3 linked regions of the Arabidopsis thaliana genome follow. The protein of the gene in region 1 interacts with the protein of each later gene in a pairwise test. Each region holds a gene or a part of one and is shown on either strand. Other genes may lie near its edges.

Region 1 (8,435 bases):
ACACAACTCACCCAACCAAAACTCCTTGAAAGATCATTCCCTGTACCGAGAGGAATAACTCCAACAGGAGGAATTTGCGACTTTCCATCTTTATTAAGCTCTCCAAGACATCCAAGAACCCAACCAACAGTACCATCACCTCCTGCAACCTATCCAACCAATTCCATTCACAATTCTGATTGCTAAAAACATTCAAGTGGATCTATAGAGATTGGAGAAAAATATGGTCAATACACTCACCATAATCCTCAACCTTGCTCTGCATTCTTTTGCACATTCATCTCCTTCCGCTGCCACTTTCTCCAAACACCCCAACCCGTATCGAACAAACTCATGCGGCTTCACTTCCGTGAGGTCAAACACCTGTATCAACACAAAAGTCACCATGAAGTTTCAATATCAAAAGCTCAAACCAATAACTTGACAACATCAACATCACTCAGCTTTCCAAAAGACTCAATCTTTAAACGTAACTCATCCTTCAAAGTTCCAACAAAACACTAGATCTAACATCAGCTAAGCATAAACATATAAATCAAGCATTAAAAACTTAAAAGCCAGAGACTTTAAGAAAGTTTCCAAACTAACATAATCAAAACACAAAGTAGATACAAATTAGATTCGAAATTCCCCCAAAAACCCAAAGAAAAAGATTTGAAATACAAGTTCAGTGAGAGCAAAACCTGTTCCTCGCTCATCAACTGTTGAAGCCTCTCTTTAAGAACAGGACCATGACGACCACCAGAATTGGGGTTAATGAAAACAACCATAGGAGCATGAGGAGCCATATCAGCAACAGCACCACCAGGAAGAAGTAAATGATCAGGAATAGCCGAGGAATCTTTGCGTTTGATACAGTCACGCATAGCGAGACGAAGATACTCAGGCATCATCAACCTCTGACGAAGCTCTACTTTATCTACACCAACCCATGCCAGATTCGCGAGTCCACAACCTCTCATCGTCTTTGAATCAGCCGTTGATGGTCGTGAAGCCACGAATTTCTCTTTCGATGCATCGGTTTTTGATACCGGAGAGTCCATTGTAGTCTCTCGCCGGAGAAGAAAAGACAAAAAGATGATTACTTTTCGTCCTGTGATTGGAGAAAATGAGGAATATTCGAAACCCAGATAATCAAAATTGGAGTTGAAATGAAAAATAATAAAGGATTGTTTTTTTTTAATCTTTCTTCTTCTTCTTTGCTGAGAGATTTCAAATCAACCAATATAAAATCTTCTTTTGACAGTTTGTATTTTCTTGTCTGTTTTGTCTTTTTTATAAATGATTTAGTTTCGAAGACAGCGCACAAAACGTGTGAATTAATTTGCTTATATTGAAAAAAAAAGAATTTACACGGTTGGATTTCAATGTGACGTCATAAAAATGCCACTCTTTAGATCTTTGATTCTTTTTCTTTTTTTATTGTTTGACATTTATGAAAGCGACTGATAAATGTTTATTTTGTAAAAGTTCTAATTTAGAATAATTTTGATTATTAATAATATTAAACTACTAAGATTTGTATAGTTTAATACCATTATCTTCTGTAACTAAGATTTGTAGATCTTTTGTTTCTGTAAGATCAAATTTACAATTTAAAGTGTACAAAATCTTACAATACTAATGATGGCATAAAGAGATTAACAATGAGATTTTTTAACGTTATTGTTATATCAAGAAAACCAGAGAAAATTAATTAGTAATTGATTGATACATTGTAAGAATAGGATCTAATGATATTTTAATATTCAAAAAGGTTCCATTATAGAGGTTACATCTGGTGAATATGATTGAATACAATTTGATATAGAGAATTAGAGATACTTGCATTATTATTTGCTTCCTATTATTATTTGACTGCATTATTGGTTTCTTTTTCTATGTAAAAAATATTTTCAACTCTCCAACAAAGAAACAAAATTCTCTGACATTTTGCTTAGAAAGAGTGGCGTTTTCGTCATTAAACAAAGGAATAGTTTTGGTGGTAACGTAAATTGTAAAAAAACAGCGAAGGAGACAATAGAAAATGAGAGCAGACATTGAAGTTAGTGGATTTTCCACAGAATGGGGCCTACAATGTTATTGCCCACTCAGAGAAATAGGGTCACTGAAAGTGATAGCTACTTCCCATTGCTGGGATCGTTGTGTACTTTTTCTAACCTAAATTTCCCTCAATGCCTTTTTCTTAACTTATAGAATTGGTCGAAACTTGAAAGTATATACAAATGCCACAGAAAAAAACATCATTTAATACCTTCTTAATTGCACGATATGATATCAGATGTTTTGTAACCAAGAATTGGTCCATGTAAACAATTTATTATGTGGCAGAGGAAGACTCAAATTCAGGTGGCTGATAAAAAGTGGGGTTTAAGATATTTCTTGAACTGGAAGACAATGAGCGTGTGTTCTCATTAGTATTACAAATCATATTTACATTATTATAAAGCGGAACATATTTACATTATACTCCAAATGATGTAACTATAAAATTTGATCTAACAATATATATCGTTAAGAAAAATAACCTAAATTTATCACAGCTTATTCATTTACACTCCTATAGAATCATAGATTTCCTACTCTTTTTTTTTTGTCATCATATAAACATATACTACTTTTTGTTCAAGGATCAATGTTTCTTAGTTTGGTGAAAGATAGAAGTAAACTGGAGTGGGCCAATGGTTAGGCGTGTAAGCCCAAACTTTGGAACGATTTTAGCCCATCTCAAAAGGAGCGTGCTATATTTTGTAAATGAAATTGCAAAATTACCTAACACAAATTTTCCTATAAAAAAACATTTCGGGTAAGAAACCGACAATTATAAAATAAAAATTGTAAGACATGTTTTATTGACACATGGAAAAATGAAGTTGGCGAAAAAGACAAACAGTAAACGTTAAGATAAAACCCTACCTATAAATATACCTTACACGCCACCTGACTTTATCAAAACCAAAAACACAAACCTTCAACGGCACGCTTTCTCCTCTGAAATCTCTGCGAGCAAACTTCTTCATCTACCTCTTACCGTACTTCAGGTTTGTGTAAATCATTTTTATAAGAACTTCAGTGAAATAGATTAGCAACCCTAATTGAATTTAATCGAATCGTAACTATTGTGAACGGAACCCATCCATCTTGCATAAAAACCCTAGTTTCTGAACAGCCTTTCGAAACTTCTAGTGTTATTGTATTGGCTCTGATCAACGTTGTTCTAAAGTTGTGAACTTTGATTGATTGCAACAGAGTGTTTAAGATGAAATCTGTCGTAATGTCGAAGAACAAGGGCTTAGCTGAACAAGATCTAAGTAAACTTGATGTAGCTCAGCTGCATCCTCTCTCTCCTGAGGTCATCTCTCGTCAAGCCACCATTAACATAGGTATACACAAGTTTTTGTTTCATTGAGTTTTGATGCTGAAGAAACTGATCAGCCGTGCATTGAAAGCTAAAGATATGACTATGCTCTCTATATCTCAGGAACCATTGGCCATGTCGCTCACGGGAAATCGACAATCGTGAAAGCCGTTTCCGGTGTGCACACTGTCAAATTCAAGAGTGAATTGGAGCGTAACATTACCATTAAACTTGGTTACGCAAACGCAAAGATTTACAAATGTGAAAAATGCCCTAGACCAGTAGCCTACAAGTGAATTCTTGCTCTTCTTTTGCTACAATAAGGTTACGTAGTGTACGTAGCAACTTATGATATGTGTTAATTATAGGTCTTTCGGGAGTGGCAAAGAAGACAACCCAAGTTGTGATGTCTCTGGACATGAGAAGTACAAGATGAAACTACTAAGACATGTCTCATTTGTTGATTGCCCGGTATAAAATGAGTTTTAACACTATTTCTAAATCTTTTGTAACCATTTTCTATATGTTAATGAGGTGTTTTGTGTGTTGATTAGGGACACGATATCCTAATGGCGACAATGCTGAATGGAGCAGCGATTATGGATGGTGCTTTACTAATCATTGCTGCGAATGAGACATGTCCACAACCACAAACAGCTGAACATCTTGCTTCTGTTGATATGATGCATCTTAAAGATATCATAATCATTCAGAACAAGATTGATCTCATCCAAGAAAACGAGGCTATTAAACAGCACGAGGACATCCAGAGATTTATAACGGTTTGATTCAATTTTCCCATTCTGTTTTTTTTTTGCATTTTTCACTTCTTGATTAGTTGGTTAAGTTTTAAACTTGTTATTACAGAACACGAATGCGGAAGGTGCTCCTATAGTTCCTGTCTCAGCGCAACTGAAATACAACATCGATGTTTTGTGTGAGTACATTGTCAAGAAGATTCCACTCCCTGTGAGGGATTTTGTGTCACCTCCAAGAATGATTGTGATTCGTTCTTTTGATGTCAATAAACCTGGCTCTGATTATGATGGTATGAAAGGTGGAGTTGCAGGTGGGAGTATCCTTCAGGTAAAACATACTCAATACCCCGAAAAACTAGGATAAATCGCGGTTGAATCAATGTAACTTATGTCTCTCTTTGCTTTGTTTGCAGGGTGTTTTGAAGGTGGGGCATATAATAGAGATAAGACCTGGAATCACTAGAAAAGATGAGAATGGAGACACTAAATGCACTCCCATTTACACGCGTATAACTTCATTGTACGCGGAACAGAACGAGCTTCAGTTTGCTGTCCCGGGAGGTTTGATTGGAATTGGGACAAGCATGGATCCTACGCTTACGCGTGGTGATAGGTTAGTTGGTCAAGTCCTTGGTGAAATAGGTACTCTCCCTGATGTCTATGTTGAACTTGAAGTGAGTTTCCAGCTTCTGACACGTCTCATTGGAGTGAAGACAAAGGAAACAGAGAGGCAAATGAGAGTGTCAAAGCTAGTCAAGGGAGAGATACTGATGTTGAATATCGGATCGATGTCTACGGGAGCTATGGTTATTGGAGTAAAGAAAGATATGGTGAAAGTTAATCTGACACTCCCTGTGTGCACCAGCATTGGAGAGAAAGTGGCTATAAGTCGCCGTGTGGATAGGCATTGGCGTTTGATCGGTCGCGGTCAGATTGAGGCTGGAACCACCATTTTTATCCCTTCTCCTCCTTCTTTGGCATGATTATATTTGATGCATTCACATATACCAAACTTGTAGTCTCATTATATCTTCAGAGTATTCCTAATCTGTCACCAAAGGAGATAACTAAACTTCTATGTGCTTATGCTTTTTGTGTGAAGTCTAACTAGAGTTTGATCAATTGCATCATCTTGATTTGTTATTAAAAGTTTTATAGTCTATGGATGTTACAGCTTAATTAACTAATTATCCTACATAGTTCATTTGAGAGAAAGATATAATTTGTGATTGTTGAAACTTGAAACTTGAAGTCTTGAAGAAACAGAAAGAAAGACTTGAAGTCATGGTCTCATTCCTAACGCCCAAAACAACAAAGATTAATAATGTGCAAAAGATGTATTGGGCCTAAAAGGCCTGGCCCATTAGCTGGATTCCGTAAGAAAAAAAAAAAAAGTGAAAAGGAAAAGAAGAAATCGTCGTTGTTGTGGAGAAGGAGAAGAAGGATAAGGATGATAACGGTAAGCGAAGTTTCCTCTTACTCTTCTTCTTCTTCAAACTTCGCGTCTCTGTCTCGTCTCAATCACAAATCATCTTCGAGATTGCGAAGCTCTTCTCTTTACAAAGGAAGCTTCTTCTCTGTTTCGACAAAGACCAGGAGGAACACTTGTAAAGCCAAATCATGGAATCTCGGTCTTGTTATCAACTCTAGAAGGTACTTCTTCTTTCAGATTTCAGATGGGTTCCATTTGAAATCGAAGATAATGATCTTGTTATAGATATTGCGACTTAAAGTTCGAAACTTTTCATGTGAATTTCTCTTGAATTGTGGAGATTTGAGGGTTATTTCATCACTAGTTCGTAGAAATGCTGATGTTTTGTCACTTACTGCTGCATTGTTTGTTGATTGGAGTTGATGTTTCAGCTCTGAGGCTTCGGTTTTTGATCCGTTGGGGATCAATCCAGATGAAACTTCTGGTTTAAGTAGCATTTGGGAAAGCTTTGTGAGTCTTTTGTCACCATCATTTGAAAGCTCTTCCGGTAACAGGCGAGATAAGCCGTCTTCTGGTAGAGGCGTGGCAGGTTCGTTTTGGCTTATCTACATTTGCTTATTGTATGTTTTAGCATGATTGATGATGGTTGCTTTACTCTTTGAAAACTTCAGCTGCTATTGAGGACAGTTCCATTGATTTTGGAGATTTCTTCAAAGGGCCATTGCCAGGGAAGTTTCTGAAGCTTCTTGGGTTTTTAGCTCTCTCTCGGCTTGGAATTTACATACCACTCGGCGGGGTTAATCGAGAAGCTTTTGTTGGAAATTTGGATCAGAATAGCATTTTGAGCACTTTGGATACATTTTCTGGTGGAGGCATAGGTAGACTTGGTATATGTTCTCTCGGGATTGTTCCTTTCATCAACGCTCAGATTGTGTTTCAGCTTCTTGCTCAAGTCTATCCAAAGTTGCAAGATCTTCAGAAAAAAGAAGGTGAAGCTGGTAGAAAAAAGATTCTTCAGTATACTAGATATGCTTCAGTTGGTTTTGCGATAGTACAAGCAATCGGACAAGTGTTTTACCTTCGTCCTTACGTTAATGACTTCAGCACGGAATGGGTTGTTTCTTCTGTTACGTTGTTAACGCTTGGTTCTGTTCTCACTACATATATTGGAGAGAGAATCTCTGATCTGAAACTTGGAAATGGCACTTCCCTATTGATTTTCACAAGTATCATCTCTTACTTGCCTGCATCATTCGGTAGAACAACAGCAGAGGCCTTACAGGAAGGAAACTATACTGGTCTTGGAACCATCGTTGTTTCATTTCTCCTCTTGGTACTCGGGATAGTATATGTTCAGGTACTATACCAAATTTTGTTCCTTTTAATGAATCTAAGAAGTTTGGTATGCTTATATAGTCTAACAAGCAAAGTTTTTCAGGAAGCAGAGAGGAAAATTCCGCTCAATTATGCCTCGCGATACACCAGCAAAGCTGGTGGGCTTCAGAAATCTGCTTATCTTCCATTCAAGGTCAATAGTGCGGGAGTAATGCCTATCATATTCTCCACATCATCTCTTGCTCTTCCTGCTACTTTAGCACGATTTACCGGCATATCTGCTTTGAAGAATGTTGCTTTTGCTTTAACCCCTGGAGGTAAGTTCTCCTAATACACAGCAAGTAAGAAGATTGGGTCCTTTGAAACTGTTTTTTGTTGATGACTTCACAAACAAACTATTGCAGGTTCTTTCTATCTTCCAACCAATATACTTCTCATAGCTTTCTTCAACTACTACTACACTTTCTTGCAACTTGACCCGGACGACGTGAGTGAACAATTAAAACGCCAAGGTGCATCAATCCCTCTAGTCCGACCTGGTAAAAGCACTGCTCTCTTCATCAAAACCGTAAGATCTTTTCTCCCTCTCTCCTTGATCAATTTTTACAAACTTCCCATTTTGGTTTATCATCTAACAACTATCTGAAAATGTCTCGCTCTGATTGCAATATCAGGTCCTTGGCCGGATATCGGTTCTTGGTTCTGCATTTCTGGCTGTTCTAGCTGCTGGTCCTGCTGTAGTCGAACAGATCACTCACTTGACAGCATTCAGAGGATTTGCAGGCACTTCTGTTCTGATCCTTGTCGGGTGTGCGACAGATACTGCAAGAAAGGTTCAAGCAGAGATAATCTCGCAAAAGTACAAGAACATTGAGTTTTACGAGCTTGACAAGTATGATCCATGAACTGGACCTTCTGTTTTACATATAATACCCATCAAACCAAGTTACTGTGTTCTCTTGTCATAGATTGTAACAAATGTTTTAAACTTTGATTAGTATATAATGCACTTTTGTCATGAGCTTGCCAAAGGAAAGTGAAACCTAGTATATAATTCATCAGAACAAATTGTCTTTCCCAATTTTCAATCAGAAGAAGAGCTCTCTTCGACAAGAAAACAAAATTGAAATGAATTCATCATATTATATCTATTTCCTTTTCTATGTATAAGCATCTCACATGGGGGCAAAGTAACCGAATTGACCAGTTCAAGATACTCTGTACAAAAGGCATATATAGCAAACCTAGAAACCTTTCAGGTAACCTAAAACCTTCAAATCCTATAATCTTTTAATATCACAACAACATAAAATCTAACGCAAACCCTTTCAAAGATCTATGCTTTCTTTCGACATTGTCCCATAGGCTGTTGAAAAGTGAACTTGCTCTGTTTCTTCTGTTGCTCATGCTTTGATCCATCTGAAGCTGAGGCCAACCATTCAAGCATCTTGATAACACTTGGGGTATCATCGAGATAGTACTTGGCCTTGCTCGGTTTCTGACCAACTGTGCACGCAAAGACCTCTTCGAGACCAATAGAGGAAACATCTTG
Region 2 (7,013 bases), on another chromosome or scaffold:
CCTAGAATCAATGCAGAGAAACCTATACAGAAGTGTAAACATATTGATAGTTCTTAATGAATTGAATTTACCCAGGAGAATTTTGACCTATCTCTTGATCCATATCCATCGAAGCAGACCAAAAACCCTAATTCCTGCGATAGATAAACACCCAAATAAACAAAGCAAAGGATGAATTCTAATCTATAACAATGTTAAGGGAACAAACCCACACAAATTAAAAGTTAAGTTGATTAGAAATTTCTCCAGAATGCAGATAAAGATACGAACTTTGGAGAGTCAAGAACAGAGTAGCCGATCTTATGCTTCAACTACAACAGATTACAAATTTATCAAACTCATTCGTTTCTTATATATCCTCTTTTCGATCAGATTAGTCCTACAAACAGAGGTGGAATAACAGTTATACCCTTTTAGTTTGTTTTTGTTTACACAGATGAAGATTGAAATTACGATTATACCGTTCAATGTTTCTTCTTCACCGACTTGAAAGCTATGACCTTTCCGATCACCGGCGTTAGTTATGAGCCTCCTCTCCGCGGACGCACTTGGGTTACTTCTCAAGAATGCAATCTCCGCGAGTTCCATGCGTTTGGGTCGCGTCGTTCACGCAAGAATCGTCAAAACCCTCGATTCACCACCACCTCCGTTTCTCGCGAACTATCTCATCAACATGTACTCAAAACTCGACCATCCGGAATCAGCCCGACTCGTTCTCCGACTCACTCCTGCACGAAACGTCGTCTCTTGGACTTCACTTATCTCCGGACTTGCTCAGAACGGTCATTTCTCCACCGCTTTGGTTGAATTCTTCGAGATGCGACGAGAAGGTGTTGTTCCAAATGACTTCACTTTCCCTTGTGCTTTTAAAGCTGTGGCTTCTCTGCGTTTACCCGTTACTGGGAAGCAGATTCATGCGCTTGCTGTGAAGTGTGGTAGGATACTTGATGTGTTTGTTGGGTGTAGTGCTTTTGATATGTATTGCAAAACTAGGCTTAGAGATGATGCACGGAAGTTGTTCGATGAAATTCCTGAGAGGAACCTTGAAACTTGGAATGCTTTTATATCTAACTCTGTGACTGATGGAAGGCCTAGGGAAGCTATTGAAGCGTTTATTGAGTTTAGAAGGATTGATGGGCACCCGAATTCGATAACTTTTTGTGCTTTCCTTAATGCTTGTTCGGATTGGTTACACTTGAATCTAGGAATGCAGTTACACGGGCTTGTGTTACGAAGTGGGTTTGATACAGACGTCTCTGTTTGCAATGGGTTGATTGATTTCTATGGAAAGTGTAAGCAGATACGTAGCAGTGAGATTATCTTTACTGAAATGGGAACTAAAAATGCTGTTTCTTGGTGTTCATTGGTTGCTGCATATGTGCAGAATCATGAGGATGAGAAGGCGTCTGTATTATATTTACGCTCAAGGAAGGATATTGTTGAGACCTCTGATTTTATGATATCAAGTGTTCTGAGTGCGTGTGCTGGTATGGCTGGTCTTGAGTTGGGAAGATCGATACATGCTCACGCTGTGAAGGCGTGTGTTGAAAGGACTATATTTGTTGGAAGTGCCCTCGTTGACATGTATGGAAAATGTGGATGTATAGAAGATTCAGAACAAGCGTTTGATGAGATGCCTGAGAAGAACTTAGTGACTCGGAATTCATTGATCGGAGGATATGCTCATCAGGGTCAGGTTGATATGGCATTGGCTTTATTTGAAGAAATGGCACCACGTGGATGTGGTCCAACTCCAAATTATATGACTTTTGTGTCCTTGCTTTCCGCTTGTAGTAGAGCAGGGGCTGTGGAAAATGGTATGAAGATATTTGATTCGATGAGGAGTACTTATGGCATTGAGCCAGGGGCTGAGCATTATTCATGCATCGTGGACATGCTAGGGCGAGCGGGAATGGTAGAACGGGCTTATGAATTCATAAAGAAAATGCCAATTCAACCGACAATTTCGGTTTGGGGTGCTCTTCAGAATGCTTGTAGGATGCATGGTAAGCCACAGCTGGGATTACTAGCAGCTGAGAACCTTTTCAAACTCGACCCTAAGGATTCAGGCAACCACGTTCTGCTTTCCAATACGTTTGCAGCGGCTGGGAGGTAAATGAACCGCATTGATTCTATTCAATTTTTATTCATCTTGTTAGGTTGAAATCATATTCTAATCAATTCAAAAGAAGCCACACGATGCTTTGTAAACAAGAGCCACCCAAATGTTTAGAAGAAAGACTACAAAACTAGGAGTATCTGAGCATTATCTGAATCGAGTTTTAAATAGATGAAACTTGTGTTAAACATGAAGCAGGGGAGACCAACCATTTATTTTGTCTTCAGTTACTTATGATCTAACTATATTATAACTAATCAATGATAGGTGGGCGGAAGCCAACACCGTAAGAGAGGAGCTGAAAGGCGTAGGGATCAAGAAAGGAGCCGGATACAGTTGGATCACAGTGAAGAACCAAGTCCATGCCTTTCAAGCCAAGGACAGATCCCACATACTGAACAAAGAAATTCAAACAACGCTGGCCAAGCTAAGGAACGAAATGGAAGCTGCAGGGTACAAACCCGACCTGAAACTCTCGCTTTACGATCTGGAGGAAGAAGAAAAAGCAGCAGAAGTCTCGCACCACAGTGAGAAACTGGCTCTAGCATTTGGATTGTTATCTTTACCACTCAGTGTCCCAATCAGAATCACCAAGAACCTTAGAATCTGCGGAGATTGCCACAGCTTCTTCAAGTTTGTCTCTGGGAGTGTTAAACGAGAGATCATTGTGAGAGACAATAACCGGTTTCATCGGTTTAAAGATGGGATATGTTCTTGTAAGGATTATTGGTAATCTTTATTAGTTTAGGCTTAACATTTATTTATATCTTTGTACTATAAACTTAGTCGATTATGATCAAAATCTTCTAATTTCAAGACTTGGTAAAATCCGCGTTATAAAAACATATAAAAAAATTGGATCCAGCTACATTATGGACATTGCATTCACTACGTGACCTCCTCTTAAGTCTTAATACACGTATTTTTGCATGTATAAATAAGCATTGCCTCCTTAATTACATTTGATTAAAAACTAAACAAACCAAAAATGTCTAATTTTCTAAGGAAGAAGCTACACCTCTGTTTCTCCTCTTCCGGTGGTCTCTCACCGTCGATTCCTTCCTCTCCGATCATCGTATCAAATCACAACGCTCAATCTCATCCTCATCACACTCCCTCAATCTTCATCAACAACTTCAACTCTCTTTACGATCAGCTCTCTGTTTCTTCTCCCCTCCACCGCCGTCACAGTTCCGAGAACCCCGCCGGGGTGTTCTCCACTAACCGCCGCGAAGAAGAAGAAGAAGACGAAACCACCACCTCCGTTTCGAAGCTTTTAAGCGGCGGGACGGCGATAATGAAGCACATAGAGTCACCGGATCCGTACAGAGATTTCGGAAGATCGATGAGAGAGATGGTGGAAGCTAGAGATTTAACGAGAGACGTCGTCGCCGATAGAGAATACTTGCACGAACTGTTATTCTGTTATCTCTATTTGAATCCGAAACATACTCACAGATTCATCGTCTCTGCTTTCGCCGATACGCTCCTCTGGTTACTTTCTCCGTCGCCGTCGCCAGAGCATTTTTTATCCTAAATTTAAATTTTTTCAAATAAATATTTGGGCTTTATAAGGCCCATAATAATTGTAGCAACTCTTACTATACTCATTGCTGTATCTGATCATTTACTTCAGTCTTCAGATATCTGAATTATCCACAAATCTAAAATTGAGAAAACTTAAAAAAGTTCCCAATTTCGAAAAATGTCACTAACCGCACAATTCTCGCCGCCGGTCACCGGAATAACCAGGAGTCTCCGGGATACAAAACCGTCACTGTCTAATCTCCGTGTATTTCCGGTTTACACTGAGATAAGAACTATGACGACGAGTAATCTGAGGAAATCGGCGTGTTTTGTGGCTAAGGCTATAGAACAGAGACGAGATACAGCTGGATCTGAATCGGAATCAGAAGCGACTCCGTCACCGGCGGAAGAGAGTGGAAGCGGAGAAGATAAGGAAGTGGAGATTAGCGCGATAGGAGCAGAGATAAAAGCAGCGATGGAGCAGAGGAAAACGGCGGAGGAAGAGAAAGGGAAGAACGAGTTTCTTAGTGGAGTTGCGGAGGAAGTGAAGGAGATTGAGTGGCCGGCGTTTCAGAAAGTTCTCGGAACTACCGGCGTCGTGCTCGGTGTTATCGCTGGCTCTAGCGTCGTCTTGCTCACTGTCAATTTCCTTTTGGCTGAACTCTCTGATCGAGTGTTCATCGGAAGAGGTGTTCAAGACTTCTTCAGCTGATCCTGTGAATTGAAAATGGTAAAATTTGTGTGTACAATTTTTAGTGATTGCAATGAGAAATCGAAACATTGTTGATTTGTGTAGATGATGATAAAGAGAATTATCGGAATCACTCCTTTTGAGCATTACCTTCTTCTTATCCTAATCTTATATTTAGCCTGAAATATTGACTTGGGTTATGTTGGTTTAGTTTTGATCATGAAACAGTATGATACTTATGAACAAAGTTACATAGCAAATTTAAACTTCATTAACAAGCAAGTGGTTCACAAAAGAAACAGAGAAAATCTAGTTTGACTTTTATTGGCACACAAGAGAAGATACAGATGGAAGCAAAGACGCAATGTAACTAAAGATGAAGAGTCTCTATAGGAGAAACTGAACATCTCTTTTATTTTGGCGTCTCTTAAGAAGAAATGGAGAATGTTCAAGCCTCGAAGGTCATGGCTTCCGCTTCTTTCCTTGTCGCATCGAAAAGTACCGTTGATAGATACCTCTCCCCGAAACTCGGGAATATCGCCTGTAAAATAATTCAGTTGATTTCGTTTACATCAGAATCAGAAAGAAATCCGGGTTATGTAATCAGAGCTTATTGGCTTTGGGGTGATGATAGAATCAAAGAGCTTACCACAAATAGCTTCCCAGCGTTTTCTGGCCTCTGTGCAAGTTTAATTGCTGCAGCAGCTGCTGCACCGGATGATATTCCCACCTACAGTATAGCTTTTGTTTTTAGAAACAGAACGAAGTTGTAATTCTGATGGAGATAGCTTTTTGTTGTGAAATGTGAAACACTTACAAGAAGACCTTCTTTAAGAGCAAGCTGCCTTGCCATGTCAATGGATTCATCACTTGAAACCTGTTGAAAGCGTTACAGGAAAATGGAGAGAGTCAAGTAAGAAATGAAGCTCTCTTGCATTCAATTGTGTTTTGCTATCAGTCGATAATATCGAAAAGCAGTCTTACCTGAACAACTTCGTCAATAAGATCAACATTCAATACACTTGGTATAAAACCAGCTCCTATCCCTTGAATCTTGTGAGGACCTTGATATTTTCAGCAAACATCATGTGTTAGGAAACTCCGAGGATAAAAAATAAGACATGAGGCAAACCGAGAAACGAGGAACATGCATGCATGGTTATCGTAATAAACGCAGGGGGAACCAAAATCACCTGGCTTCCCACCGGATAGAATAGCACTTTCAACTGGCTCCACTCCATACAGCTAACAGAAGAGGAAACAAAATGAGAAACCGTGCAAAGACACACCACTTAGTCACTTAGATAACAAAGCCAGTTGTTCGAAAAGATGGAGCTCTCACCTTGACGTTTGCGTTCTGTTCTTTAAGATACTTCCCAGCACCTGTAATGGTACCACCAGTACCAATCCCAGAAACAAAGCCATCGATTTTGCCACCAGTGCCTTTCCATATCTCAGGTCCCGTAGTCTCATAGTGGATCTGCATTTGACAGTGAAATTCCATCGACTTAATATGGTTCAAAAACAGACAAAAACAGATACACTAAAGCAATAGTAAATAATAAGCATACCTTAGGGTTGGCAGGGTTCTCAAACTGCTGAAGCATGTAACCATTGGGTGTTTTCGCCAAAATCTCTTCCGCCTTTGCGATAGCTCCTTTCATGCCCTTAGCTGGGTCAGTTAAAACCAACTCAACTCCAAAAGCTAAGAGAATGATTCTTCTCTCAGTACTCATAGAAGCTGGCATTGTAATAATAAGCTTGTAGCCTTTGGCAGCTGCCGTGAATGCTAACCCAACTCCAGTGTTTCCACTTGTTGGCTCAATCAGCACACTCTAAAGAACAAACAAAAAGTCAGAAACAATGAAAACAAAAACAAAATAGTGGTTTGAAGATTCAGATAATCGAAACTGACCTCTCCTGGTTTGATAAGACCCTTCTTTTCTGCATCAGAAATCATGCTAAAACCAATCCTGCAGAAATAAACAAAGTACAAGGTCTTCACAAAACCGAAACTCGAAGCGAGAAACAACACATAGTTTCTGGACTAGAGAAGAAACCTGTCTTTGACGCTAGAGCACGGTTCCATCATCTCAAGCTTAGCAGCAACACGACCAACACATCCTTCAGCAACATTGTTCAAATACACCAATGGAGTGTTCCCAATCAACTGCCAAATAGAATCAATCAATACATGAACATGGAACAAAGCTCACTCCTTCGTGAAATGAACAGTGAAAGAACTTGAAAGCCTTACTTCAGTCACATCTTTAGCAATTCTCGAGGCCATGATTCAAGCTTCACTGCTTAAATTCACAAAAAGAGAAAAGTAAGACCAAAGGAATAAATCATCCTCAAACCAAAAACACATCATACAAAATCATCAAACATAAATCTCCAGATGTATGAGCACCAATCCAGTTATACAACACTCTTAACACCAAATCAACAGATTTAACAGCGAAATAAGCTTAAGCCCATACAATTATCCGATCCAAACAAATATAATCGAAACCGGCAGAGGAATAAGCAAGTGAATCAAAAAGTATGGGACGAGGAAGAAGATGATACCTGAATGAGAAAGTCAATAACCTTGACCCGAATCGTTTTGAAGAAAATGGAGAAAATCGGTTGTATGGAATAAAATCTTCGAATGATGAGATATATGATCTCTTT
Region 3 (9,240 bases), 4.2 Mb from region 1:
TTAGCTTTATCTTTACCATTAAGTAAAACAAGTTTGTGAACATTTCAGAATTGGTTTAGTGATAAGAGGGACTTTCGAAAAAGTTGTGCAATCAAACAAATTTAACTCTTTCTTTCTTTCTTTTTTTCTCACAAATGAAAATCATATCTTTGGTCATTCTAGTCATTAGATCTAGCTATAGTCGTGCTTTCTGGTTCAGCAATTTTTATGTTGGGAATCTTGTTATTTTGAAATTGTAAAATGCTGAACTAAATAGTATGACTTTTTATCAGTAACTATATATTTTTAATATTATATCGCACTTTTCTGTTTTGGTTACACTTACATTTTTGTGTCAGTCAGAATTTTAAATTGACAAAACTATGTTAAAAGATTTTTTTTTCAGTAAACAGAATAAAGGCATTTTTATAAAAAGTAATGGATGAGCCTTATAAACTAAAATAAAAATAATATTACTAGATTTTCAGGCTATCATTTCATATATTTGTATGCTATTTGCTAACCATGCCAATATTTAAAACGCCAAGGTCCATTGCTAACTTAACTTTTGGTTAATTTGTCATAATTATCATTTTTATTTGCATTTATTATTGGAAATATATATGTACGTTGATGGCTAAGTATAAATTAACTTTGCTTAATAGGGTTCATTATCATATAGATCCGTAATCATGAAAGCTTAATTAGGGTATCTTTGTGGGTCAAGACTCAAGAGTAGGCTTGTCCCTGATCTGTCGTTTTCGTCTTCGTTCATTAGATATCTTCATGGCGATGGTTTTATCTCTTATATGAATCTTTTTTGAATATATTAATTATCTTGTTGATTGCAAACATATATAAGCTTGTAATCTTGCAATAAAACAAATGAAAGGGGTGAACCAAATTCACAATAAAACAACCATTGATTGTCTACTATTAACTATTCAATGAAATATAAATGTTCTACGTCATCATTAAAAAACTATGATACTAATCTCGTTTCCTATTGATATTAATATTTCAATATATAAGAACAATAACTCTAACAAGAATAATGACTGAATCTTAGTATGAAAATAACTTTACTCGGTATCAAACGACGTAAAGAAAGGGAAAAAAAAGCATGAAAAAGATGAAACCTGTCATTTACAACTTCTATTTTATGTCTACTTTTATTTTTATTTTCAAAAGAAGAACAAAGAAGAGATCTTTCAAATTGTCTCTACATTTTATCTTCTCTTTTACTTTTCCCTAACGATTTTGTTGTATGTAGTATATATCTTTAATAATCAGTCGTTTCGTATATAAATGCGAACATCTTTTTCAGAAAGAGATTGCCTAAAATGGCGTATATGTTGTATTATTACCCTAAAAACAAATAATCTTTAACGTTAGTTGATCATGCATGAAATCATCAGCAAACCTTTTCATAATCCCACTCATCTCTTTTGTGCTCTTGTCCTTCTCCATTTTGTTGTTATCTTCTCTCTTTTTTTCTTCATTTTGACCATATATCATTTCTCAATAATTTTTCGAATTTATCATGAAAAACGTAGAACTTCTACATGTCAAAAGCTTAGATACACTGAAACCATGTATTTTAGTGGTTTATGCTACAATCGTGTCTATGTGTTACTATTATTAATAAAATTTATATAATGCATATTGTTAAACAAAAAGTTGACGAAATTATGACAGAAAAAAATGACGAAACAATTTCTTTTAACTCTTTATCCACAAATATCTGATTTTTTTTTTTTTTTTTTTTTTTTTTTTTTTTTTTTTTACTAGGGAAGCAATGAATTGCTCTTTTTTTCTCTCCTGGTGTCAATGCTTCAATTATGAACGTTAACTAATTTATTGCTTTATGAGCTTCTTTCTCGTCCAAACATTCTTAAAAACAATAGTGAAAGTCTCGATTACGAATTCAATATGACTACGTTCAATTTCATATATCGCTTTCCATTCTAATTTTTTAAGATTTGGCATAGGTGTACTAATCATTTGCTTCATCTGCCGAACAAATTTTCATAATTACTTTTTTAAAGAACGCATATGCGGTTATAATTTGTACCACTCTTAACTTTGCATATGAATTTACTTAATTACTTATGCACCCATTAATCAATGGAAGCCCGAGGTAATATGCAACCTGATTAAAAAATATTACGTTATTATTCTGATGGTCCGTACATACAAATATTACTTTTTATAATTTTCCTATGTATCCTTTGTATATGAATTGAAAAGCATTTTAGAGAAATAATTTCTATTTAGTAACAAATTAATGAGTTATTACCCATAAATTATTCTTACGTCTCCATCAAAAAGTGAGTTTAGCCTTGAAAGTTCTGTGTCGACGTCGTTATGTTATAAAACAATAAATACGAACTCTTAATCGTTCGTTGTCATATAAAATTAAGAAAAAAATACAACATCATCATTTTTTTTATTTTTTTTGTCAAACTTACAACATCATCATTTCTATCAAAAATTTATGTTAAAAAACAAATTATGAAATAAATAATTATTTCACAACGAAAAATAATAATAACAAATATAATTATTTTCAAAACAACTTTAAATTTAATTTCTATATATAGTATTTGGTATAGGTCTATATATGATCGTGACGTGTGAAATATAATTGAGGAACGGTGGATGATTCTTGAAAACAATGTGGAAGATATTTAATTCAGTATGATGCTTAAAAAAACTCATAACGTTAGCTATGTTTTGTTGAATATTACATCACATAAACGTATGGGTGTGCACTTAGAGCGAGCCGGTGATTATAGGTTTGTTTTTTTTGGTAAAAAATTATTGAGAGATTATTGATTATAGGTTTTGAAGCTATCGATCTGAGCTAGAGATTAAGGAACGAATCCCTCTATGAACATTTAAACCTTGTTCTTTTTGCTTATTAACTGAGAGATTAGGATCCTAAAATCTATACAACACTAGAGATCATTATCCAAAAGATTTTACTTAGTCCCATTTGCGGTCACATTTAATTCCCTAAAAGCATGAAAATTCTATCCCATTTGTTTTTTCCACTAGACTTGGGACTCAAAGCGTAATTTATAACTATCTTACGTTAGAGAGCATTATTTACGACCATTATTTAGGCTGAACTCATTATAGACATCGATCAAGCTCTAGTGTTAAATACATTTTCTTTGTGGGATTAATCTTTAAAGGCCTTGTAATCACTTACTATTTCGTAAGTTATGAAGATTTGGGAACCGGATTATGGCTTTGGGAAGTTAAGTCCTATGACTCAAGCTTACCTTTTTAGGGTTGTGTATAGGTTCTCGATAAATGTTTCAGATTAGTTCATTTGTTTTTTTGTTTATAAAAACTACATAATATAAAACGTGGAAAGAAAGTGATAATGACAAGAAATAAAAGTAAGAAAGGTGGTGGTGTGAGAATCAGATTCGATGTCAACTAATTGAAAGAGAGTACGCAGCTTTTTCTTCACAATTATATATATTTTGTGGAAAAGCTTACCATACATTCACAAAGCATTCGAGATTTGATTTTTATAGAAAAGTATTTACATAAAGTATTTTCTAAATCGGTTTCTATTTTGTATGCTTTCAGTTTTATTTTGTGTTGGGGAAGTGATCCATGCATTGAGCTTGGAGATTGATGGATTGGTAATTAAGCCTATTAAGTTAAGCAGGCCTGTTTCTAAAATGGGCCCTAATAAGCCCAAACTACAAAAAGCACCGATATATCCCACGTTAGATACATGTCCACGTGGACTCCTATGACTGGATGTAATCTCCACCACGCGCGATCACCAGCTTCGTCTCTCATTTTCATTTTCCAATTTATTTTCAAAAAAAGATAAATCCAGAAAAAAATTTACAAAATAAAAAAATAAAAATCTCTATCTTCTTCTTCGTCTCTTCTCATCCTCCTCTCAAGCTCCAATGGCGAGAGTTCTAGTCTCGTCTCCATCTTCATTCTTCGGTTCACCGTTGATTAAACCGTCGTCATCTCTCCGTCACAGTGGAGTAGGAGGAGGAGGAACCGCTCAATTTCTTCCATACCGGAGTAATAATAACAAACTCTTCACTACTTCAACCACCGTACGATTCAGCTTAAACGAGATTCCTCCTTTCCATGGCTTGGATTCATCTGTAGACATCGGAGCGATTTTCACCAGAGCTGAATCTCTTCTCTATACAATAGCTGACGCCGCCGTTGTTGGTGCTGATTCCGTCGTAACTACTGATTCATCCGCCGTGCAGAAGAGTGGTGGTTGGTTTGGTTTTATCTCCGATGCTATGGAATTGGTTCTTAAGGTGAGTTTTAAGCTGCTAATTTCGATCTCTGTGTGTAGAATTCTGGAAATTGTATTTGTAGCTTAAGTTTTTTGGTTTGGATTTTTAGATTTTGAAGGATGGATTATCAGCGGTTCATGTACCTTATGCTTATGGATTTGCGATTATCTTGCTTACGATTATCGTCAAAGCAGCGACGTATCCTTTGACTAAGCAACAGGTTAGTGAGTGTGATTAGTTGAATTTTGCAGCTCCTCTTGTCACTTTGATTCAATTTTGGCATGTTGGTTGAGAATTTTTGAGCATTGCTTTTGTTTTGGAATCCTTTAGGTTGAATCAACACTAGCGATGCAAAATCTTCAACCGAAAATCAAAGCGATTCAACAACGTTACGCAGGAAATCAGGTGAGTTTCTTTGGATAGAGAATGAGTTACTTGTGGATGACGAGTCTGATTTGTTTGTTCTGTTTTTGGATATATAGGAGAGGATACAACTAGAGACATCGCGATTGTATAAACAAGCTGGTGTTAATCCGTTGGCAGGTACTTTCTTTTAGAAGTTACGAGTTTTGTATTCCCTTCCTGAATTGTGGTGACATATGCACATTATTGTTTTTTTTATGTTAGGTTGCTTACCAACTTTAGCAACCATACCAGTTTGGATTGGTTTATACCAAGCTCTCTCTAACGTGGCCAACGAGGTACATATACCTTATGTCTCTTTCAACTACTGATTTCGCTAGAGACCGGATAAGTTTGTCTCTTTCAACTACTAATTGTTCTAAAAACTTTTTTTTTGTAGGGATTGTTTACAGAAGGTTTCTTTTGGATTCCATCTCTGGGTGGACCAACATCTATAGCTGCTCGGCAGAGTGGATCCGGCATTTCGTGGCTTTTTCCGTTTGTGGTAATGGAAGAAAAAAACTTTATGTGAATACGTTTTCTCATTTGATACTTATCTTTATACTAAAAAATTTCATACAACTGAGTCTTTTGCTGTGCAATGAACCTTTATCAAATTGGTGTCTAATATCGTTCGGTGGTGCAGGACGGGCATCCACCATTGGGATGGTATGACACTGTAGCTTATCTTGTTCTACCTGTTCTACTTATTGCCTCCCAGTATGTGTCAATGGAAATTATGAAGCCTCCTCAAGTGAGAAATAAACACAAGTTTCTTTTATTTTTCCTGTTACTTAAACAATTTGATATGATTGTTCTGAAACCGAATTTAATTTCTTTTGTCAGACTGATGATCCTGCACAGAAGAATACGCTTCTTGTTTTCAAGTTTCTTCCACTCATGATCGGTTACTTTGCATTGTCTGTCCCATCAGGACTATCTATTTACTGGTTGGTTTCCCTCTCCTTGAAACTTCTCATCTAACTGTTTTATCCATGCCCTTGATCTACTCATTAAATGGAGTATAAGAAAGATTTTCTCTAGTAATTAACCTAGATGGCTTCATTCTCAAAATGTACGTAAGACGGGTTAGAATTTCGAGGAATACGAAGCTTGTTTGATAAGGAATCATCTAGTGTGACTACATTTTGTAACATCAATATTATTGTATATGACTGTGTTTATTGGTAGGATCTGAGTTTTATTTTTTCCCTTTTTATTATGCTACTGCTTATGTTAAACCATCCTATGGTTTTAGGCTCACAAATAATGTACTTAGTACCGCCCAACAAGTATATCTGCGTAAACTAGGTGGTGCAAAGCCAAATATGGATGAAAACGCAAGCAAAATAATAAGTGCGGGACGAGCAAAGAGATCTATTGCTCAGCCTGACGATGCTGGCGAAAGGTAAGTGAATCCCGAGTCTAGTGGAGATTATATCTCTCAATACGAAGCGTTTTTCTTACAAGTTTGTTATTTCTGATAAATGTATATTGGATCACAACAGATTTAGACAATTAAAAGAGCAAGAGAAGCGCAGCAAGAAGAACAAGGCGGTTGCGAAAGATACAGTTGAATTGGTAGAAGAATCTCAGTCTGAATCAGAAGAAGGGTCTGATGATGAGGAAGAAGAGGCTCGTGAAGGAGCGTTAGCTTCGAGCACAACAAGCAAGCCGCTTCCTGAGGTTGGCCAACGAAGAAGCAAAAGATCGAAGCGGAAACGCACTGTATAGAACCAAAGCAAACGAAATTGCAAGTAAGGAAGAGAAAAGAGAGAGATTTGAATCTTGTTCCTTAGTTTGATCTTTTGATATATATTTGCATACACCATGTCCGGTAATTATCTAATATTAGGGCACAAAAAGGTCATTCTAAAGTTAAAAGCAGTAGTTGATCAAAGTAAATTGTTTATGTGATTCATCTTATTATAAATGTATTAACGTAAATGTGTGTACTATTATGACTTTTCAACATGCCCGCTTCAGTTTTGTTAGCATTTCGTTGTTGTAAACTTGCAATCTATTTGTTTGGTGCTTTTATTAGCTTTGTCAGCTTATAAAAATGGTAAATGTGAATCAAGTAGTATAGTAATTTGTGCAATAAACGAGACAACGATTCCCCATGAATAAACAACAATTACTTCCTGACAAAGAAGCATTGTTCTTTGGATTGGCATGGATAAAATAGAGAGAGGTAAAAATATTACGATTTGGATTGGGCTGAGGCCCAAGATATGGTTACACGATTTTCAAATTCTCGAAGTTGTACAAGTAGACAAAAGACATCTTGTTTTGTCGTGTTGTCGTTTGGTGTTTGTCGTTTTGATGTGTTTGTCAAAGAACCCTGTTACTAATCTGAACGAATATAACTTGTCAGTGTAGCCACATTACACTAATATTCAGAGAAAGTTGTCATGTTGTTACAATCATGAGTCACATAGCATGTAATAGAGTGTACATTTCAATAGGTTTAGAAGTTTAGAACACATAAATCAATCGGTCCATCTAAAATGTTTGCATTATGGTTTACTCATTGTAACTTGTAAACATTACATATGTGAATGCTTACTATCCTAGAAAAGCAAAACTGTTGGAAACAGCTAAAAATTAATATATCTGCCTAATATTTTCAGAATATGTTATTTTTCAACCATCCGAAATAGTGCTATTTACCAAAAACACACATTAGGATTAGTTTACCAATGAAGGAAACAAAGCTTCGTTAGTCACAAACCACATGCCATCATTTTATTCTTTAAAGAGCTTTCAAGCTTTTGACTCATAGAAATAGAATCCAATATTCATCTCTTTTAAACTGACATTAAAGCCCTTCGCCTCCTTAAACCCACATGCTAAATTCATTGCCTAACCACCCAAAACATCCAAAGGGTATTTTCGTCACTCCAAAAAATGTATGCATATCGAAAAATACTTTAGCTTATATACACACACGTCGCATTGGCACACCTTTCACACCAAAAGCTACACAATGGCTAAAACCTCTCTTCCTCTCGCCGCCTCCTTCCTCCTCCTCATCTCCTTCTCCTCCGCCGTAGACACTTCCCGTCTCTTCCTCACCGTCGTCAACAACTGTCCCTTCACTGTCTGGCCAGCCATTCAACCCAACGCCGGCCACCCCGTCCTAGAGAAAGGTGGCTTCGCTCTCCCAACTTTCACTCACCGCTCCTTCAACGTTCCAACCACACACTGGTCCGGTCGCATCTGGGCCAGAACCTGGTGTGCCCACTACAACGGAAAATTCTCCTGCCTCACCGGAGACTGCGGAAACCGCCTGGAATGCAACGGTCTCGGCGGGGCACCACCAGCTTCTCTAGCTCAGTTCGACCTCCACCACGGTGGTCACCACGACTTCTCCTCTTACGGTGTCTCTCTCGTTGACGGTTACAATGTTCCGATGACCGTGACTCCTCACGAAGGCCATGGTGTCTGTCCTGTCGTTGGTTGTCGTGAAGATCTAATAAAAACGTGTCCGGCTCATCTTCAGGTCCGGTCACACAGTGGACACGTGGTGGCTTGTAAGAGTGGGTGTGAGGCTTTCCATACAGACGAGCTGTGTTGTCGTGGTCATTACAATAGCCCTAACACGTGTAAAGCTTCGAGCCATTCGCTGTTCTTTAAGCATGCGTGTCCTTCGAGTTTCACTTTTGCTCATGATAGTCCTTCGCTTATGCATGACTGTGCTTCTCCTAGAGAGCTCAAAGTCATCTTCTGCCACTAATGTTTCGGCCATGTTCTAGGGTTATTGTCGTAACATCGGACTGATCTTCTAATGCTTTTGTTTGGTTAGTCTGATTTTGATTGGTTTAGTATGCGATTTCCCGGTTCAGTTATGTAGTCCAACTATGAAATTATGTATTATCTTGAAATTGCTCTCTTTAATTCTCTTTTTTTATTTCGATTCTGTAATGCTTAAACATTGATAGAGAAGTTATAATTGGAATGGTAACAATTTAAAAAATTTTGGTTCAAGAATAACCATTTTGAAAGAATGATTTGTTTTCAGTTGATATTCACGGTTTTTACTCGATATTAAAAAAAAGGTACATTGTTTTTATTCGAGGCTTGCAGGCTTAGACAGTGTTTTGTTCTTACACCTTTTTATTTTGTATTTGTCGGTAAGATATTTTATATCACGAGTTTCCACATTTTTTAATGTATAATGTGAACCACTAATCAAGTAGTATATCGGTAGTAAATATATTTAACTTTTCGCTTAACAAAAACTTATTAAAAAAAAAAAGACAAAAATCTGAATTGTACAGTGGCTATATTGAACTTACAGAGAAAAGAAAAATCCAATAAAGAAAAAATTATTGGTGTAAATCATATATCACAAGACTTCTTTAGGCATGGAATGAAACACACTCAATACGAAAAAAGCTGCATCTTCACGTGAAAGATTCTCATTTCTTTTTTGTGTGCGAGAGAAATTTAAGTATTAACACTTCTTTTACAAAAGTTGGATATCCTGAGATAAAATCCAAACTAATTAACTCAAAAGTAATTGTTAAGAGTTTTGTTGGCGAGATAACAAAAGTATTTA

Evidence for each region.
Region 2: the proteins of SCY1 (region 1) and SECE1 interact in binary tests that used the Arabidopsis thaliana proteins (3 or more experiments, as listed by UniProt).
Region 3: the proteins of SCY1 (region 1) and ALB3 interact in binary tests that used the Arabidopsis thaliana proteins (3 or more experiments, as listed by UniProt).

Annotation. Positions count from the first base shown.
Region 1 is NC_003071.7:8,111,584-8,120,018, reverse strand, and holds SCY1 (SECY homolog 1), read left to right. Parts: upstream 1-5,533; 5' UTR 5,534-5,566; coding exon 5,567-5,769; intron 5,770-5,979; coding exon 5,980-6,137; intron 6,138-6,219; coding exon 6,220-6,905; intron 6,906-6,986; coding exon 6,987-7,200; intron 7,201-7,287; coding exon 7,288-7,451; intron 7,452-7,557; coding exon 7,558-7,788; 3' UTR 7,789-7,935; downstream 7,936-8,435. Other genes in the region: DGK3 (diacylglycerol kinase 3), read right to left, coding at 12-149, 241-363, 684-1,043; AT2G18721 (uncharacterized protein), read right to left, coding at 2,913-3,020; AT2G18720 (Translation elongation factor EF1A/initiation factor IF2gamma family protein), read left to right, coding at 3,260-3,383, 3,482-3,650, 3,727-3,829, 3,913-4,140, 4,226-4,444, 4,530-5,099; TPS11 (trehalose phosphatase/synthase 11), read right to left, coding at 8,220-8,435. UniProt on the Arabidopsis thaliana protein: Involved in protein export. Probably interacts with other proteins to allow the translocation of proteins across the chloroplast thylakoid membranes. Required for normal greening during embryogenesis. Central subunit of the protein translocation channel SecYE.
Region 2 is NC_003075.7:8,513,424-8,520,436, forward strand, and holds SECE1 (secE/sec61-gamma protein transport protein), read left to right. Parts: upstream 1-3,676; 5' UTR 3,677-3,824; coding exon 3,825-4,358; 3' UTR 4,359-4,531; downstream 4,532-7,013. Other genes in the region: AT4G14840 (spindle assembly abnormal protein), read right to left, coding at 72-109; LOI1 (Pentatricopeptide repeat (PPR) superfamily protein), read left to right, coding at 524-2,112, 2,387-2,852; OFP11 (ovate family protein 11), read left to right, coding at 3,108-3,656; OASA1 (O-acetylserine (thiol) lyase (OAS-TL)), read right to left, coding at 4,786-4,878, 4,987-5,067, 5,155-5,214, 5,322-5,401, 5,531-5,582, 5,680-5,817, 5,909-6,172, 6,253-6,310 and 2 more. UniProt on the Arabidopsis thaliana protein: Involved in the import/insertion pathway in the thylakoids. The signal recognition particle is not involved in the insertion of SECE1 in the thylakoid membrane.
Region 3 is NC_003071.7:12,353,839-12,363,078, reverse strand, and holds ALB3 (63 kDa inner membrane family protein), read left to right. Parts: upstream 1-3,510; 5' UTR 3,511-3,920; coding exon 3,921-4,295; intron 4,296-4,383; coding exon 4,384-4,494; intron 4,495-4,604; coding exon 4,605-4,679; intron 4,680-4,756; coding exon 4,757-4,817; intron 4,818-4,901; coding exon 4,902-4,975; intron 4,976-5,076; coding exon 5,077-5,181; intron 5,182-5,322; coding exon 5,323-5,430; intron 5,431-5,522; coding exon 5,523-5,626; coding exon of another isoform or gene 5,627-5,660; exon of another isoform or gene 5,661-5,934; coding exon 5,935-6,084; intron 6,085-6,184; coding exon 6,185-6,410; 3' UTR 6,411-6,758; downstream 6,759-9,240. Other genes in the region: AT2G28790 (Pathogenesis-related thaumatin superfamily protein), read left to right, coding at 7,591-8,415. UniProt on the Arabidopsis thaliana protein: Required for the insertion of some light harvesting chlorophyll-binding proteins (LHCP) into the chloroplast thylakoid membrane.